Linked DNA regions of Anolis sagrei. The protein of the gene in region 2 purifies or fractionates together with the protein of the main gene of each other region. This does not show direct contact. Links are inferred from orthologs where the notes say so. Each region holds a gene or a part of one and is shown on either strand. Other genes may lie near its edges.

Region 1 (10,250 bases), on a different chromosome or scaffold from region 2:
TGTATATCTACATCTGATACAAAGGTTTTTAAGTCATTCTGTTTCAGGATTCTGTTTTTATCTAACATGCTTCTCAAACTGCTGGGAGAGATTGTGAGACAAAGGAACAAAAGTGCCAGACAGCCGGAATACTTTCCAAAACGACTGCATTCCTATGCATTTCTCTCAGAAAGGCAGGGGGAAGAAGAAACTGTATTCAGTGGAGCTTATTGTATATATGTATAATACAATGTCACAAGTTTTATACAAATATAGCTGTTACTATTGCAGCCTATGAAAACCTGAGATTTATAATAGAGGTCTTCAGAAGAAAATTCTAGGGACTCCTCACTAAACTACAAATTTCAAAATTGTAAATCTTCCATCATTATACATCTTCTCCCCTCTTGCCTTGCATGATAAAACTGATCAAAACTACATTTAAAAACCTGCAATTTTTATCTATTTTTATCTAAAAGTGTGTTTGTTTATCCAACCCTTGGAATTTCAAATGCAATCAGTAATATACAATCCCTGGAGGGTGGATCTGAAGAGGAGTTGGAGAACAAACTGTGCTATTACATTCTGTGCATTTAGATTCTCATGTGCACGAAGATGCTTAAAAATTCTTCATCATAGAGCACTAGTCTCTCATCAAATAATAATCCCAGGATTCCATAGGATGCAGCCATTGCAGTTAAAGTAGAATCATAGTGCTATCACACAAACTGAATGGCATACATTTAAGCAATAGAGGAAAATTTAACTCTCCAATTAAATCCAATTACAGTGTTCCCTCACTTATCATGGGAGTTCCGTTCCAGGACCACCCGCAATAAGTGAAAATCTGCAAAGTAGGGACATATATTAATTTTAGTATTCATACATTATTTTATATATTATTTTCTTACCCACGCTTCCTTACCCGCCTCCCGCCCAGACTGCTAATGGACAAAATGGCCATTTACTATGGCCTTCTTCTGTGCCATACTAATAAATGTTAACTGTGATGCCACCATAGTTGTTTCTGAGATTCTCCACTGGTGTCACCATATACTACTGCTGGCACATTTAGTCGTATCACAGCAATATTTTGCTGGAAAGAATCAATTAAAATCAACAGAAAGCCGTTGAGTTTTCAGGCTTTGACAGCTGAAATTTACCAACAAAGCAAAACATCAGGGATAGTTTGCTATCTATCCTTTTTATTTGTGAAACTCGTGCATATAGTACTGTCATATGCATGTCTGTTCAGAAGTAAGTCCTCTAAAGTGCAGCAGGAATTGCTCACTGGTAAATAAGACACAAGATTGCAGACTTAACAAGTTTGTGATTTTTCCCTATAGTTAACATTCCAAATGTAAGAGATCAATAAATATCATTTTAACATTTAACAACTATATTATATAGAGATAACAAGGTGGGAGTGATCAATCATGCAATTTGCTGACAGACACGTGGTATTTCAAACTAGGACAACTGATTTGACCTATATCTAGGAAACAGTGGCACCTCTAATTTTCATATCCAAGTGGGATGAAAAAATTGTGTCAATGTACAAATTTTGAGAAAACAAGCCTAGGAGTTTTCACATTTGAAGTATTTCAGATTCTGTAAAACCTCTTTACATTTCAGTTTACAAAAGTTTCACTTGCTATGATGTCTTGTCAACCTTACCACCAAAAAAAAAAGATATGTAATTTAAGTGTTCTGTGATCCAACTGAAGTACAAAAATATAGATTGTGTGATTTTCCATTTTAAATTCAAACAACAGATGAGGTTCTGAAATCACCAACACTGGTGCCATTGTAGAAGACAGTACTGGTGACCCAAAACAATGATTTATTTCAGATGTAATACTTTTCATATGCTGACATCCAGAAATTGGGAAAGTTACTTTATTTTATTTTGGACTAGCTTCCCTATGGACATATTGGCTGGAGCTGTAAATTTTACAAGCCTTAAAATAAACAATTATCTTGCAAGTACAGTCAGAGAAGCCAATCTTTCTATGTACCTGAAAGCAGCAATGTTGTGCGCATCCAGTATAAATATCTAGTATGAAGGACTAGGAAAAGAGCTTTGATTTGTGTTGTGGTCTAACTGCTTGGATGCAGTACTCAACCTACCAATGCTAGCATACCTGGTTTTACATTGATCTGATTCTCTTAACGTCAGTGGGAAGATATTTAACCAGTTTACGGTCCAACTAAAAATAACTGTGTAGTTAAAGTGTGCTTAAGTTAAAGTGTATTTACTGTCAACACTCCCAACATCCACCACAAGGAAAACATATGTTCTAATTGGTCCCACTTTTATTATTTTGAGAAAAAGGTGTAGTTGATTTTCCCATCCTGAAACTGATGACTTCGCCGATAAGTAAGCTTCCTGCTTCCATACTTACAGGTTACTTAGCAACTGGCATACTATGACCAAAAGGACAAAATGTTAATAGAAAACTATGGCATGTGCTTTGAAAATGATATCAGCATTTGGATTTCTAAAGAGTGATTAGTCTGGCCTCACCCCTGCTTATAACAAGTATTAAAAGAAGGGCAAAGAGGATGGCATTAGCTAGTTTTAAATTCTAAAGTCCAAACTGGTGGGTTTGTCTGTATGATCTTTCTCATCATCATTACTTTATAATGTTTTTGATGTCAATAGGAATTTCAAACAATTTGTTATTTAAGTAGTGGGAGCTCACCCCGCTCCCCAGATTCGAACTGCCGACCTTTCGGTCAGCAAATTCCGCAGCTCAACGGTTTAACCTGCTCCCGCTGTTAGCCCAGCTCCTGCCAACTTAGCAGGTCAAAAACATGCAAATGTGAGTAAATCAATAGGTACCGCTCCCGCAGGAAGGTAATGGCGCTCCATGCAGTCATGCTGGCCACATGAATTTGGAGGTGTCTGAGGACAACTTGGGATCTTTGGCTTAGAAATGGAGATGACTACCAACCCCTAGAGTCAGACACGACTACACTTAATGTCAGGGGAAAACCTTATGTCAGGTAGCAACCATTTCAATAACTATGTGTTGTCGGAGGCTTTCATGGCTGGAATCACAGGGTTGCTGTGAGCTTTCCGGGCTGGATAGCCATGTTCCAGAAGCATTCTCTCCTGACGTTTCACCCTATCTATGGCAGGCATCCTAAGAGATTGAGGGATCTGTTGGAAACTAGGCAAGTGAGGCTTATATATCTGTGGAATATCCAGAGTGGGAGAAAGAACTCTTGTCTGTTGGAGGCTGGTGGGAATGGTGCAAATGGCCACCTTGATTAGCATTTAATGGCCTTGCAGGTTCAATGCTTGGCTGGTTGCTGCCTGGGGGAATCCTTTGTTGGGAGGTGTTAGCTGCCCCTGATTGATTCATGTCTGGAATTCCCCTGCTTTTTGGGTGTTGCTCTTTATTTACTTTCCTGATTTTAAAGTTTTTAAATACTGGTAGCCAGAGTTTGTTCATTTTCATGGTTTCCTCCTTTCTGTTGAAATCATCCACATGCTTGTGTATTTCAATGGCTTCTTTGTGTGGTCTGACATGGTAATTTCTGTCAGACTAAAGAGATCTGTCGTAACACTGTCTGCATCTCACCTTCTCCAGATGCAGCAGAACAAAATCATTTGACAACTCCCCCCGCCCCCCATTAAAAAACAGCACTCCATTCCAAAGCAGGTTGAGCATCCCTTACCTAGAAGTTCAAAATACTCCAAAATGTCCACACGAGTGGCTGAGATAGTGACACCTTTGCCTTCTGATAGTTCAATGTACACAAAGTTTGTGTCCAAAATTATTAAGAAATATTGTGTATAAAACTATTCAGGCAATGATTATCAGGTATATATGAAATACAAGTGAATTTCAGGTTTGATAATTACACTATGCAACATGATTTTTATTCCTTGGTTATAAATGTCATTTCCAACTTGGTTCTATCATAAAAACATGGAAAAATGGATTAAACTGCAAAAACTTTGTTTTTGCGGGACATCCTGCAGCACCTTTTGCTATAGTGTTTCAATGAATATGTCCTAGAGTCTCAACCAATCCAATATAGAGTTGCTGTGAGTTTTCCAGGCTGTTGCAGAAGCATTTTCTCCTGACGTTTCACCCACATCTATGGCAGGCATCCTCAGATGTGAGGTCTGTTGGAAACAAGGAAATTTGGGTTTTTATATCTATGGAATGTCCAGGGTGGGAGAAAGAACCCTTGTCTGTTTGAGGCATCCTCAGAAGTTCTGGAACATGGCCATACAGCTCGAAAAACTCACTGCAACCCAGTGATTCTGGCCATGAAAGCCTTCGACAACACATCAATCCCACATCATTTGTGGTAGCCAGAAAAACAAAGTTTCTGGAGTATAACAACTACTTTCAAAGTAAGTCCCACATAATTAAACAGGAAATAACACTTTCAAACCAGGAACAGAACATTTCTCAAATTTTGTTACATAGTGTTATCCTTTAGCCTCCCCAAAAATAGACTTGGGTCCCATCTCCAAGGTATTCAATCATTTGCAAATTTATTATGCTGGTCATGGACCGTAAAAAAGTATTGTTGTTGTTGCAAATTTATTGGATACATGCAATAATGCTGCATTATTTGCGCATATATATAGTAAAGGTATTCCCCTAACATTAAGTCCAGTTGTGTCTGACTCTGGGTGTTGGTACTCACCTTCATTTCTAAGCCAAAGAGCTGGCGTTGTCCGTAGACATCTCCAAGGCCATGTGCCTGCCATGACTGCATGGAGTGCTGTTACCTTCTACTCACATTTGCATGTTTTTGAACTGCTAGGTTGGCAGAAGCTGGGGCTAACAGCGGGAGCTCACCCCTCTATCTGGATTCGAACCATCGACCTTTTGGTCAGCAAGTTCAGCAGCTTAGTGGTTTAACCCGCTGTATATATGCAGAGAGCCCCGGTGGCACAGTGGGTTAAAGCGCTGAGCTGCTGAGCTTGTTGACTGAAAGGTAGCAGGTAGCAGGTTCGAATCCGAGGAGTGGTGTGAGCTTCCGCTGTTAGCTCCAACTTCTGCCAACCTAGCAGTTCGAAAACATGCAAATAATAATAATAATAATAATAATAATAATAATAATCTTTATTTATACCCCACCACCATCTCCCCAATGGAGACTCGGGGCGGCTTACATGAGGCCAAGCCCAATCAACAGATTACAACAAAATAAAACCAAAAACACATGCAATAAACAACAGCATCATAATTGCATAAAACCTATAAATACATTAACGATATAAGACTACAATAAACACAGTCACAGTGACAATGGGCAGCTACATGTGCGAGAAAATGGTTTAAAAAACTGGTTAAAAACTGAGTAAATCAAGGCGGGAAGTTAACAGCACTCCATGCAGTCATGCTGGCCGCATGACCTTGGAGGTGTCTACGGACAACGCCGGCTCTTTGGCTTAGAAATGGAGATAAGCACCAACTTCCAGGGTCAGATACAACTGGACTTTATGTCAGGGGAAAACCTTTACCTATATATATATATATATATATATATATATGCAAATAAAGCATTCCAAAATAAATCCATAATAATAATAATCCTAAATCCAAAAGACTTCTGTTCTCAAGCACTTCCGATAAGGGATATTCAACCTTGCAATAATCACACACCAAACGCACAAGAAGACCTGAGTATAACACAGCATGCACTCCTGTCTCTACTATTCTGAAAGGGAGGAATGGGAAGGTGATGCTCCTGCTGCAGGCTCCCTTCTGAACCACTGGCTCCCTTTAGCTCCCTCCTCTGAACCTCAACAACCAGGAAATCCAAGCTGTCGTCCAATCATTCTCAGGCTTTGGGCCTCCAGTCCTTCGAGACTTCACTTCCCAGAATTCCCGCGTATTGTTTAGCTTAGCAAAGGCTCCTGGGAGTTGAAGTCTACGGCTGAAGCGGCAGAACAGTCCAATCTGTAATGACGTCCGGCGAGCAACGCGGCGCTTCGATGTTTAGTTCCGGCTGCAAACCCTTCTCTTCTCCCAGGCCGGCGGGCCCGCTTCCACCCGTTGTCCATGGCGAGCGGGGGCAGCTTGAAGGCCCGGGAAAGAGAAGGCATTCCCGGCGGCGGAGGGGACATGCTCGCCGGCAGCCCGCGCCTCTCTTTGGCCTGCTCCTGGGAGTGCTTGGCTGAGCTGACCAGCGTGGTGCGCCTCGTCCCGGAAGGAGAGCTCGGCTCCTGGGAGAAGGAAGGGTGAGGAAGGCGGGAAGGCGGGATGGGGCCTACCTTGAGCCCTTCAAGAAGGTTATTGGCAAGCTGGAAGGGCGAACACATTCATCATAAGCCTGGATTTCAAGATCTACGAAGAGCAGTTAAGGGAGCTGGGAGAAAAGAAGGCCGAGACCTCTTCTACACTGCCATATACCACCTATGTTATCTGCTTTGAACTGGATTGTATGGCAGTGTAGACTCATATAATTCGGTTCGAAGCAGGCCATCTGGATAATCTGCTTTGACAATCAGCAAGCATTGTATGGCAATGTAGAAGGAACCCTATGACCCTTCCACACAGCTGCATAAAATCCCACATTATCTGCTTTGGACTGGATTGTATGGCAGTGTAGACTCATAATCCGGTTCAAAGCAGGCCATCTGGATAATCTGCTTTGACAATCAGCAAGCATTATATGGCAGCGTAGAAGAAGCCGTATCCCCTTCCACACAGCTGAATAAAATCCCACATTATCTGCTTTGGACTGGATTGTATGGCAGTGTAGACTCATATAATCCGGTTCAAAGCAGGCCATCTGGATAATCTGCTTTGACAACCAGCAAGCATTATATGGCAGTGTAGAAGGAACCCTAGGCCCCTTCCACACAGCTGAATAAAATCCCACATTATCTGCTTTGGACTGGATTGTATGGCAGTGTAGACTCATATACTCAGGTTCAAAGCAGGCCATCTGGATAATCTGCTTTGATAATCAGCAAGCATTAAATGGCAATGTAGAAGGAACCTTAGGCCCCTTTCACATCTTCTATATAAATAAAAATGTAATGTTCGTTTGTGGGATTAACAGAACTCAAAAACCACTGAATGAAATGACACGAAATTTGGACACAATACACCTAACAATCCAACGAGTGTCCATCACCCCATCACACACACACACACACACACAACCTCAGAGGAACAGACTTAAAAACCCCAAAAATACACCATATATACATATACACATACATTCATATACATATACACATGCACACATTCATACAGACACACACACACACATATATATATGCACAAACCCACAGAATCATAGAGTCAGAAGAGACCTCATGGGCCATCCAGTCCAACCCCCTACCAAGAAGCAGGAATATTGCATTCAAAGCATCCCTGACAGATGGCCACCCAGCCTCTGTTTAAAAGCTACCAAAGAAGGAGCCTCCACCACACTCCGGGGCAGAGAGTTCCACTGCTGAACGGCTCTCACAGCCAGGAAGTTCTTCCTCATGTTCAGATGGAATCTCCTTTCTTGTAGTTTGAAGCCATTGTTCTATTGCGTCCTCGTCTCCAGGGTAGCAGAAAACAAGCTTGCTCCCTCCTCCCTGTGACTTCCTCACAAATATACACATATACACACATATACATATACATACACACATATATACATATACACATGTACACACATAAACATATACACATACATACATGCATATATGCACACAAATATGCATATAGACAAGTACACGCATATACACAATATGCATATACACATATAAACACACAAATACACAATTAGATATGCATATATATTCAAAACACTTATATGCATGGCAGGGGATGGTTAGTAGCTGAATAAAATCCCATATTATCTGCTTTGAACTTGAATATATGGCAGTGTGGACTCAGATATTCCAGTTCAAGCAGATGTTGTGGGATTTTCTGCCTTGATATTCTGGGTTATATGGCTGTGTGGAAGGGCCCAGAGAGGGGATTTGAAATTTATTTCATATCAAAAGCTTTGCATAAATTAGTATAAAACTGATAAAAATAGAAGGCACACAGGTGGCTAAATATCTTTTTACCAAAAATGGGCAACAGCAACGGTATTGTCTGTAGCCTCCAACAATTCCTCCTCTGTACATGAGGCAGGGCACAATGGACAAGCATCCAATAGTTATGAAACTGAGATGGACCTATAACCTTGTAACTTTTTTACAGTTGTTCACAACACAACATGAGCCTCAAAATCTATCTTTTCAGACAGACACATATTTTCCTGACTGTAAGAGCTGTTTAGCAGGGGAACTCTCTGCCTCGTAGTGTGGTGGAGGTTCCTTCCTTGGAAGCTTTTAAACAGAGGCTGGATGGCCATCTCTCAGGGGTACTTTGATTGTGCTTTTCCTGCATGGCAGGGGTGTGGACTAGATGGCCCATGTGGTCTCTTCCAACTCTGATTCTATGATTATTCTATAGGTATTCTGTGATTATTCTATGATTAAATTCCCCCAAAATGGATAGTTTGCACTTCTAAACATATTACGGCCCTTCAACAGTTTTATTTTTGTGTGCCTTCAGGTCATTTCTGACTTGGAGCCACCGGTGGCGCAGTGGGTTAAACCCCTGTGCCGGCAGGACTGAAGACTGACAGGTCGCAGGTTCGAATCTGGGGAGAGGCGGATGAGCTCCCTTTATCAGCTCCAGCTCCTCATGCGGGGACATGAGAGAAGCCTCCCACAAGGATGATAAAAACATCAAATCATCCGGGCGTCCCCTGGGCAACGTACTTAATTCTCTCACACCAGAAGCGACTTGCAGTTTCTCAAGTCGCTCCTGACACGACAAAAAAAAATAAATTCTGACTTATAGCAACAAATTGTGTTCCACTGTAATAATGTTTATTTGCATGGAATTCTTAAGATTTAAGTTGACTTCTTTCCCACCTTCTAGCGAAAACATTGTTGTTCTTGAAAGACGCTTAAACCCTGACAACAATACTCCATGCTCACTATACTTGCACTGTGACGCCTATGGATCAGAAGAAATTGTTGGTCTTGGCATTGTGAGTGAGGCACGGAACATGGAAGTCTACATTGGGGAAGAATACTGTGGAACAGCAAGGGGAGAAAAAATCTGCACTATGGAGCACGAGAGGTCAGTTTTGTCAGTTTGTTTATGGAAACAATCTGTATGCTAGTGATGTTATATGCATTCTTTCACATAAGTCTACAAATATTACTAACTATCAAACATTTTACTAGCCTGCCAAGATATTGACTGTATATAACTGATGTATAAGTTTAGACACCGTTTTGGGTTTCAGTTTTTTCAGATTATGGAATACCTATATTTGCATATGGGGCCCCTTGATCGCACAAAGGGTTAAACCATTGAGCTGCTGAACTTGCTGACCGAAAGGTTGGCAGTTTGAATCTAGGGAGTGGGGTGAGCTCCCACTGGTGGCCCTAGCTTCTGCCAACCTAGCAGTTCGAAAACATGTAAATGTGAGTAGGTCAATATGTACGGCTTCTGCTAGCCACATGGCCTTGAAGGTGTCTACGGACAACACTGGCTCTCTTCAGCTTAGAAAAGGAGATGAGAATGCCCCCCAGAGTCGGACATGACTAGACTTAGGGGAAACCTTTACCTTTACATGGAGATGAGACTCAGGTGTTAACACAAAATTTATTTATGATATAACTATAGATATATTGCACTTAATGTGGAGGCAGTTTTATTCAATATTTGTAATAATGCTGTGCATGAAGTAAACCAAGGTGTTACTATATAAGAATGTGAACAATTTTGAATCTGGGAGTATTTTGAATTTCCAGAGGAAGGGTGTTCAGCCTGTAATTGTTTTTGCTACGTTTACATAATTCTGACCTTAGATAAGCCACATGAAAGCTGTCAGAATTATTGAACTGTTGAACTATTGAATTATTGAATTGTTCAAGCATTTGTAAAAATGTTGCTTTTCACTGAGCAACATTTTATTAAGATATTAATATAATCAATATCTTTTAAAAATAGCTGAGCACACTGCTATTTTTGGGGGGGATTTTGGTGTGAAATGCTGTTAAATTGTTATAGTATTAGTATAGTCTTTTTCACAGCTCACTTATTTTATTTTCTAGCAAAAATGACCACGTTACATTATACAAAAAATATCTTAAACTGGAGTGCTCCACAGCCTCTTGTAAGATTAAGGTAGGAAGTTACTTTCTGAAATATTAGTATTGATTTACTTTTTTAAAGGAAGATAGTAGTACATAAAAGAAAAAATTCCAGTTTTGAATGCTG
Region 2 (10,559 bases):
CCAGAAGGCTAGATGCATTCGTCTATTTAGCAACAGCATCCCATATCTATGTCAGGGGTTCCAATCAGTTTGAAATTCCCAGTTGACTAGTGGAAGGGACTCCTCACTCCTGTTAGAGATGTGGTCGCCTCAGGAAGAAAAACAACATGCAGACACAAAGCTGTTCATTCCAACTGGGAGGCTTTTCTCACTTAAGTTGCAGTAATAGTACAAATACTAACACAGTATGCACAAGTTCTCTCTCTTCTATCTTCATCAACCAACTTCAATCCACTAACCTCCAATTCTCATCAACTCAACACAGTTACTACAAACGAAGGCCCCTTCCACACAGCTGTCCAAAATCCACATTGAACTGCATTATATGGTAGTGTGGATTCAGATAATCTAGTTCGAAGCAGATATTGGGGATTATCTGCCTTGATATTCTGGGTTATATGTGGCTGTGTGGAAGGGGCCTTAGGTAACAGTCTCAGCACTCAGCTACCACATCATTCCAATTACAGGGAACCTGTGGTTAATCCTGAGACAGTTATCCTGTTAGCACTTAGAGAAATGCTGGGTAATTTACAGATTTTGACAATCCACACATTCAACACTGCTTGAATTTTTTTTTAAATCCAAGAAACCAAATCTTAATTTTGCCAATTTATACCGAAGACATCATTGTAATATGCCATTGTATATAATGGAAGTTTGCATACAGAACAACAGAACTATGGTGAGTTTATGTTCCTGTGACCTATATCAGCCTCTTGCACATTGACAGTTTTGATCAGAATTTGGAAAGTTTCATATGAAAAGTGCATGTACACATGTTCTAGTATCCTTTTTTTTCCAAACAACACATATCTAACCAGTGGGACTACACATACCCTGTAAATGTATATGTAATAAGAGTATGTATGTATCTATAGGTATTTTCCAACTTGGTTCCCACTTCCAGGAAACCTCGTAGTTTCTGTCAACAACAGATCTGGATTAAACTTGGCACACAGATCCCCCGTGACCCAATAGGAAATACTGGAGGGTTTTGGGGTTCATGGTTGACCTAGAAGGAAGGGATTTTCAGCCCCTCCTATATCCAGAAAGCCCTGTGATCCCCCACTGATGATGGATCTGGACCAAACATGGCACGCATACCTTTCATGACAAAATTTAAGTACTGCTGAGTTTTGGAGGAGGTGGACCTTGGGTAATGGGATTTGCAATTCACCCACATCCAGCAACCACCTTAAACTCCCCTGACAATGGATCTGGACACATACCCCTCATAACCAATTTTAAAGACTTGTGGGGTGGGCATACACCCAGATGATGAGAATTGTAGTGCACCACATTCTTGTGCATTTTCTTAATGGGACCATTCATAAAATTAAAAAAACAATGATTTTTTCTAATAAATAATGTTACAAATTACCCAACCAGCACTGCTGGGTACCAAAGCTACTGTAGTAAAAAAAAAAAAAAAATTCAAAAATTATGCCATGTAAGAACAAAATTCTCTTCTGTAGGTTCATAGTTATAATGTAATTTAGGGCCATTTTACATTGCCATAGAAATGCAGATTATCTGCTTTAAAATGGTTTATATGGCAGTGTAGACTCATATAATCCAGCTCAAAGCAGATAATGTGGATTTTCTGTGGCAATGTAGAAGGCCACAGTCATGTCTTAAAAGTTTTTTTGGGAAGTAGTCACCAGATCCCATCTGATCTTGAAATCTAAGGAGGGTTTGCTCTGGTTACTACTTGGATGAGAGACTACCATGAGAATGAATACTCTGAGAATAATTGGAAGACACAAGGGCCTCCCTCTTGATCTTCCGGAAAAAAAAAGTGAAAACGTGGCTATTTGAACAAGCCTTCCGAATCTAATTCAACATTCAAACACGGACTTAGATGAAAGTGAACATTGGAACGGCTCAGACGATGATTTTTGGATAATCAGACTAACAATGAAGCCATTGGTTTCATGTGTTTTTAAAGGTTTTATTGAACGTACTTTTAATTCTGTTAATTAAATATTGTTAGGCTTCGGATGGCTGCCTGTTTGTTAGATGCCTTGAGTCACCTTCGAATTCAAGAAAGGCGGGATAGAAATATCGTAAATAAATAAATAAATAAATAAATAAATAAATGAAACATTTTAAGGTTGTCTCCATAAGTCATAAGTGAGTTGAAAGCTGACAACTGGCAACATAAACTCTGCGCATTCCCCTTCCTAGGAACACCATGGGGCCCCTATGGCTGGATCTGCACTGCTCTATATTACAGGAATTGATCCCAGATTTGCGGCTTTGAACTGGATTATGTGGTCTCCAATGTCATATAATCTGGGATAAGAATATCATCTGGGATCAGATCCTGGGATATGGGGCAGTGTAGAAGGGGCCTGTCTGAACACAAAAGTTATTGACATTTCATATACTTAGGCAATCCCTTATTGTCTGAGTAGGATAGTCTTCCAGGATCAGTGTACTGGCGGTGGGTCCATAGGTAATTGTGAAGCCCTATTCTTTATCTGCGTCTTCTCCCACTGTGAGGCCATTGGTTTCCAGGTGGAAGGCAGTCCCGGTCAGGGATGACTTGATGCACCTTCCTCTTGGCACGTTTCTCTCTTTTATCCTGGATCCGGCACAGTCTGGCTTTAGACCGGGACATGGAACCGAGACAGCCTTGGTCGCCTTAGTTGATGATCAATGCCGGGGGGGGGGGGGGGGGGGGGAGTGTGTCCCTGTTAGTTCTGCTGGACCTCTCAGTGGCCTTCGATACCGTCGACCATGGTATCCTTCTGGGATGCCTCGCCGGAATGGGCCTGGGGGGCACTGTTTTACAGTGGCTCTGGTCCTTTCTGGAGGGTCGCACCCAGAAGGTGTTGTTAGGAGACACCTGTTCAACCCCACATCCTTTGTCTTGTGGAGTTCGTCAGGGCTCAATACTGTCTCCCATGTTGTTCAACATATGCATGAAGCCGCTGAGGGAGATCATCCGGAGTTTCAGGGTGCGGTGTCATCTGTACGTAGATGATGTCCAACTCTGTCACTCCTTCCCACCTGCTACTAAGGAGGCTGTCCAAGTCCTGAACTGATGCTTGGCCGCTGTGACGGTCTGGATGAGGCAAACAAATTGAAATTGAATCCAGACAAGACAGAGGTACTCCTGGTCAGTCCCAAGGCCGAACAGGGCATAGGGTTACAGCCTGTGTTGGATGGGGTTACATTCCCCCTGAAGACGCAGGTTCACAGCTTGGGTTTGATCCTGGACTCATAGCTGAGCCTGGAACCTCAGGTCTCGGCGGTGACCAGGGGAGCATTTGTACAGTTAAAACTTATGCGCCAGCTGCACCCGTACCTTGGGAAGTCTGACTTGGTCACGGTAGTCCACACTCTGGTTACATTCCGTATAGACTACTGCAACACTCTCTACGTGGGTTGCCTTTGAAGACGGTCCGGAAGCTTCACCTAGTCCAACGAACGGCAGCCAGGTTGTTAACAGGAGCAGAGCTCAGGGAGCACACAACCCCCTTGTTGCGCCAGCTCCACTGGCTGCCAGTTTGCTACCGGACCCAATTCAAAGTGCTGGCTTTGGCCTATAAAGCCCTAAATGTTTCTGGCCCAACTTACCTGTCCGAACGTATCTCCCCTTACAAACCACTGAGGACTTTAATATCATCTGGGGAGGCCCTGCTCTCAGTCCCGCCTTCATCACAAGCACGTTTGGCCGGGACGAGAGACAGGGCCTTCTCAGTGGTTGCCCCTCGGCTATGGAACGCTCTCCCTAGGGAGATCGGATTGCTCCCTCCCTCTTGATGTTTTGGAGGCAAGTTAAAACGTGGCTATTTGAGCAAGGGTTTACAAATACAGAGTAGCTAATATAGGAAATCGAATGACCTGACAATGGAATTGGATAATGCTTGAGAATAATGAGACGCTGATGATGTTGTTTTTATTGCTTTTGTGATGTCTTATACTGTTTAATGTTTTTTATCTATATTATGTTTTATGTATACTGATTTGTTGGAAACCGCCATGAGTCGCCAATTGGCTGAGAAAGGTGGTATACAAATACAGTAAATAAATAAATAAATAAATCCTCCATTCATGCCTCTTCAAATTCTACAGCACTGCTGGTCACAGCTGAACTCCAGCTGGAGTGCTCAAGGGCCAGGGCTTCCCAGTTTTCAGTGTCCATGCCAGAGTTTTTAGGGTTAGCTTTGAGCCCATCTTTAAATCTCTTTTCCTGTCCACCAACATTCCGTTTTCTGTTCTTGAGTTCGGAGTAGAGCAATTGCTTTGGGAGACGGTAGTCGGGCATCTGGACAATGTGGCCGGTTCAGCGGAGTTGATGGCGGAGGACCATAGCTTCAATGCTGGTGGTATTTGCTTCTTCCAGCACGCTGACATTTGTCCGCTTGTCTACCCAAGAGATTTTTAGGATTTTCCGGAGGCAGCGCTGATGGAATAGTTCCAGGAGTTGCATGTGATGTCTGTAGACAGTCCACGTCTCATAGGCGTATAGCAGGGTTGGGGCGACAATAGCTTTATAAACAAGCACCTTGGTCTCCCTGCGGATGTCCCGGTCCTCAAACACCCTCTGCTTCATTGGGAAAAATGCTGCACTCACAGAGTTCAGGCAGTGTTGTATTTCATATACAATTCATGCCCATAACCTGAAGATAACGTTTCACAATAATTTTAACAATTTTGTGCATCAAGTTTGTGTACATTGAGCCATTAGAAAGTAATGATGTTCAAAACACTTGGAGGGCCGAAGTTTGCCCATGCCTGGGGTATACACACGTTATCTTCAGGTTGGCAGTTCCTTTTGCTACTAGAATAGGGACCCGTAATCACCTACAGATGTGAGAGCTGAACCATAGGGAAGGCTGAGCGAAGGAAGATAGATGCTTTTGAACTGTGGTGCTGGAGGAAAGTTTATTAGGAAAGTTCTGAGATTGCCTTGGACAGCAAGAAGATCCAATCACTCCATACTTCAGGAAATAAAGCCTGACTGCTCATTGGAGGGAAGAATAGTAGAGGCCAAGATGAAGTACTTTGGCCACATCATGAGAAGACAGGAAAGATTAGAGAAGACAGTGATGCTGGGGAAATGGAAGGAAAAAGGAAGAGGGGCCGACCAAGGGCAAGATGGATGGATGGTGTCATTGAAGTGACTGGATTGACCTTGAAGGATCTGGGGGTGGTGACAGCCGACAGGGAGCTCTGGCGTGGACTGGTCCATGAAGTCAGGAAGAGTCGGAAAAGGACTGAATGAATGAACAACAACAACATAGGGAGGAAGAGACAAGCGAACCAATCAGAGAGCGTGTGAGATGCGTTCGTCCAATCACATGCCTCCGTCCTCTTTTGAAAAAAAAAAAGCTGCGAGCGGGGCAATCTTAGCCTCCTTTCCAGCTGCCCCTTGTGAGTCTAAGTCCCTCCTCCTCATCCTGGTCAGGAAAAGCAGAGCGCGGCGCACTCTCTTGCCCTTTCTCGGCCGCCGTAGGCGAAGGAGACAGGCGCGTTCTCGCAATGCCTGTTGGGACGGGCTGCTAAGTTCTTAAGAAGCGGGGAAAGTCTCTTGGAAGCGGTGGAACTGTGTGGAGTAGGCCCGAGGCGCCTCAGGGCGTGGAAATGATGCGGGCCGGCTAGAAGTCTCTTCTGGGTGAAGTGCGAGGGTGAGCTCAGGCCTCGTCGTGGATCTGGGAGGCGGAGGGTCCCTCCCCACAGAAGCCCTCTCCCTCGGGGATTCGGTGGCTGAGAAGGTAGATAGGCAGACTTGCAGGCCCCTGGGAACAAGGCAAGCATCTTTTGTGCCTTCAGTCTCACTGCGGGCCTTATACACAACGGGGAAAATCACAGCTTGCCTCTTGGAATTTTGTTTTGGATTGTTGTGAAGCCATGGGAACCGAATCCGTGCAGGGTTGTCGCATACATTTACCTTCAGATTATGCCAGGCATGGGCAAACTTGGTCCCTCCCTCCAGGTGTTTTGGACTTCAGCTCCCACCGTTCCTAACAGCCTCAGGCCCCTTCCTTTTGCCCCTCAGCCGCTTAAGCGGCTGAGGGGCAAAAGGAAAGGGCCTGAGGCTGTTAGGAACGGTGGGAGTTGAAGTCCAAAACACCTGGAGGGAGGGACCAAGTTTGCCCATGCCTGAGCTGTGCCACAAAGTTCTTCTTCTTCTTCTTATTCACCTCTCCTGATGGCTCGAAAGTCAAAAAGGTACAAGCATAAAATGTAAACAATAACTCACATAGCTAAAACACAAAAAATGTAAAAACTTGCACCAAACACAGATACAGAATTGACATATAGTAGCAATAGAATGTAAATCAATGTTTCTCAACATGGGGATCAAGACCCCTGAGGGGGTCGCAATGAGAGTGTCAGAGGGGTCCCCAAAGACCATCAGAAAACACATTATTTTCTGTTTATCATGAGGATTCTGTGTGGGAAGTTTGGCCCAATTCTATCATTGATGCGGTTCAGAATGTGCTTTGATTGTAGGCGAGCTCTAAATCACAGCAATGACAACTCCCAAATGTCAAGGTCTGTTTCCCCGCAAACCCCACCAGTGTTCATATTTGGACATATTGAGTATTGGTCTCAAGTTTGGTCCAGATCCATCTTTGTGTTGAGTCCACAGTGCTCTCTGGATGTATGTGAACTACAACTCCAAAACTCAGTGCCCATCAAACTCAGTATTTTCTGTTGGTCAGGGGTGTTCTTTGTTCCAAGTTTGGTTCAGTTCCATCGTTGGTGGAGTTATGGAGCCTCCGGTGGCGCAGTGGGTTAAACTCCTGTGCCGGCAGGACTGAAGACCGACAGGTCGCAGGTTTGAATCCAGGGAGAGGTGGATGAACTCCTTCTATCAGCTCCAGCTCCACATGCGGGGACATGAGAGAAGCCTCCCACAAGGATGATAAAACATCAAAAAATCATCTAGGCGTCCCCTGGGCAACGTCCTTGCAGATGGCCAATTTTCTCACACCAGAAGCGACTTGCAGTTTCTCAGGTCGCTCCTGACATGACAAAACAAAACAAAACAAATGGTGGAGTTCAGAATGCTCTTTGATTGAAGGGAAACTATAAATCCCAGCAACTACAACTCCCAAATGTCAAGGTCTGTTTTCCCCAAACTCCACCAGTGTTCACATTTGGGCATATTGAGTATTCGTGACAAGTTTGGTCCAGATCCATTACCGTTTGAGTCCATAGTGCTCCCTGGATGTAGGTGAACTTCAGCTCCAACACTCAGTGCCTACCAAACCCTTCCAGTACTTTCTGTTGCGCCAAGTTCGGTTCAATTCCATAATTGGTGGAGTTCACAATTCTCTTTGATTGTAGGTGAACTATAAATCCCAGCAACTACAACTCCCAAATGACAATATCAATTCCCCCCAACCCCACCAATATTCAAATTTGTGTGTACTGTGTATTTGTGCCAGTGAATGAAAATACATTCTGCATATCAGATATTTACATTACGATTCATAACAGTAGCAAAATTACAGTTGTGAAGTAGCAATGAAAATAATGTTATGTTTGGTGGTCACCACAACATGAGGAACTATTAAGGGGTCGCAGCATTAGGAAGATTGAGAACCACTGATGTAAATCAAAACTTACCATTGAAAGTTAGCTAAGTAAGCCTGCCAGAAGAATTGAGCCTTCAGTTACATTTTCAGTTCCGACAGTTCTGTTCACTCACATTCCATTTCCCGTTCTTGAGTTTAGAATAGAGTAACTGCTTTGGGAGATGGTGATCAGACATTCAGACAATGTGGCCAGTCCAGCGGAGTTGATGGTGGAGGAGCTTCGCTTCAGTGCTGGTGGTCTTTTCTTCTTCCAGCACACTGACATTTGTCTGCCTGTCTTCTTAAGAGATTGCAGGATTTTTTGGAGGCAATGCTGATGGAATCGTTCCAGGAGTTGCATATGACGTCTATAGACAGTCCACGTTTTGCTGACATATAGCATGGTTGGGAGGATACTGGCTTTATAAACAAGCATCTTGGTCTCTTTACGTATCTCCTGGTCCTCAAACACTCTGCTTCATTCGGAAAAATGCTGTACTTGCAGAGCTCAGACAGTGTTGTATTTCAGTGTCAGTGTTGACTTTTGTGGACAGGTGGCTGCCAAGGTAGCGGAAATGGTCAACATTTTCTAATGTTATACCGTTAAGCTGTATTTCTGGCATTGGAGAGGGATTGACTAGTGACTCCTGGAAGAGTACTTTGGTTTTCTCGGTGTTCAATGGGAGGCCGAGTTTCTCGCATGCTTCTGTGAAGGTGTTTAGAGTGGTTTGTAGGGCTTCTTCTGAATGCGCACAGACAACATTGTCATCAGCATATTTGAGTTCTATAACAGACGTTTTTGTGACCTTGGTTTTGGCTTTCAGTCGGCGGTTTGAAAGTTTGGCGGTTTGAGTCTGAGGAGCGGGGTGAGCTCTCGCTGTTAGGCCCAGCTTCTGCCAACCTCGCAGTTTGAAAACATGTAAATGTGAGTAGATCAATAGGTACCACTTCTGCGGGAAGGTAACGGTGCTCCATGCAGTCATGCTGGCCACATGACTGCATGGACAAGGCAGGCTCTTCAGCTTATAAATGGAGATGAGCACCACCCCTCAGAGTCGGAACCAACTATACTTATTGTCAGGGGAAACCTTTACTTTTACTTTAATTAAAATCACAGAAGCCCCTGATGATCTTAAAAACTTCCTTCTTTAAAGGCCTGCCTGAATGAAAAGGTTTTAACCTGCTGCCTGGAGTGGAAGAGAAGGCGATCCTGTAGGTAACCTGGACCTAAACCATGTAGGCTTTAGAGGTCAAAACCAATATTTTGTGCTTTGCATAGAAACTAATTAGCAACCAGTGCAGTCACTTTAGAATAGGTGTAATATGCTTACTCCTGGATGTTCCTGTAAGCTATCTGGCTGCCATGGATGGCTGAATCTAAGGATCCAGAATATGTGGTGTAAATTTACCTTCAGGCTATGCCTTAAGGCACATAGCAAGCCTAAATGAATGTTGAGTTTGGAATTGGGTTGCATCTGCAAGTATTCCAAAAAAGTCCAAATCCAGACTGCTTCTGTTCCCAAGCATTTTGAATCCAATTTGGTCCAGTTAGAATAGAAAGTACTATGAACAGATTTTCTGACACTTTTTATGCCTCTCCCACCAAACAAGATGCCAGTTGTTTCTCTCACAAACATACAGTCTTAGTATTTTTTGTGATTTTCGTGCTTGTCAAATGGGCGTTGTCTCAGTTGAGCATGCCCAGAATTGTGGCTTATCACTCGCCGAATAATCCTAACAAAATATGTTGTGGCTCTTCCAGTTAACTCCCTGGTTCCCACAGGGGGGGCAATTTGATTTTTAAAGGGGCAATTCAAGAATAAGTTATTAACAGTGAATTTGATGAAAGCATTACAGGAAAAGCTTTTATTTATGCATTTCAGTTTTCTGTTGTATGTTTTGAAGCTTTATTTCCTATTTTTAAATATAACTTCTAACAATTTCTTAGTTCTTTCACCCTCAGTAGTTCAACTGTCCTTTAATTTTTTTTCTTTTTCATGGATCAAGATTTTAAAGATACTTAGGTGGGGCATAGCCAAAAAATATTGGGAATCATTGAGTTAACTACTGGATATTCAATGCTGAGGAGCTGAGTTGTGAGCAGTTGTTGAGCAGTTGGTGAGGTGTGCAGTAAATGAAATGTCTAACACACAAGTGTATCTTTTGTGTCTCAGGCGTTATTCAGTTGGTGTCTGTTTCTCTGCATGTATCATGGGAGAAAGCTTCCATTATCTGGTAACTTCGAAAATGGTCCTAGTCCTATTTATTATTTACGCACTTACAGAAGTTGACCAGGTATGTGGGATGGCCATTATAATTCTAACAAGATCTTTGTTGGCATTTTGTCCAGGCTTATTTTAGTTAACCTGGGCTGCACCCACACAGTTGAATTCATGCTGTTTGATTCCAGTTTAACTGCCATGACTCAATGATTTGGAATCTTGGGATTTGTAGTTTGGTGAGGCACCACCACTTTAGCAGAGAAGGCTAAAGTGCTTGTAAAACTAAACTTGCATAATTCCACGTCTTTGAGCCATGGCAATTAAATTGGGGCCAAACTGCATTAATTTTACAGTTTAGATGCATCCTCAAGTCTGTGACTGGAAATACACATTTGCTAGATGCTGCCTGTTTTATGTGTCCTATCATGGAATTACAGTGCAGTTATTAATAGGTGTCTTCATAGTTGAGGCAGTCATTACCCAATCTGTAGACTACTGTGTACAACATTATTCACAATGGCTGTTTGTCAGAAGATGTTTGCATTGATTTATTGTACTTACTTTCTTAGTAGCATACTTGAGGTGATTACAATAAATAAGTTTAAAAAAAAAGAAAAAAAGGTTTTAAAGGGTCTTGTGTATCTAACTTCTTTATAACTCAGAATCTATTTTCCCCTTTGGCTTACAGCTTCAACCATGCAGGAAAGCATCCGTTTTGCTTCTTCGGGAGATGATGATGTTAAAATATGGGATGCATCAT

What was found.
Region 1: the proteins of NEDD1 (region 2) and C3H10orf88 purify together in Homo sapiens (co-immunoprecipitation; 3 studies listed by BioGRID and IntAct, counting the BioPlex papers as one, with this or other methods). This does not show direct contact. The link is inferred for Anolis sagrei from reciprocal best matches to the Homo sapiens genes NEDD1 and C10orf88.

The regions. Positions count from the first base shown.
Region 1 is NC_090023.1:199,482,353-199,492,602, forward strand, and holds the start of C3H10orf88 (ATPase PAAT), read left to right. Parts: upstream 1-5,923; 5' UTR 5,924-6,017; coding exon 6,018-6,196; intron 6,197-8,897; coding exon 8,898-9,101; intron 9,102-10,084; coding exon 10,085-10,157; intron 10,158-10,250. UniProt on the Homo sapiens protein: ATPase that regulates mitochondrial ABC transporters ABCB7, ABCB8/MITOSUR and ABCB10. Regulates mitochondrial ferric concentration and heme biosynthesis and plays a role in the maintenance of mitochondrial homeostasis and cell survival.
Region 2 is NC_090025.1:155,950,398-155,960,956, forward strand, and holds the start of NEDD1 (protein NEDD1), read left to right. Parts: upstream 1-5,451; 5' UTR 5,452-5,800; intron 5,801-10,487; 5' UTR 10,488-10,495; coding exon 10,496-10,559. UniProt on the Homo sapiens protein: Required for mitosis progression. Promotes the nucleation of microtubules from the spindle.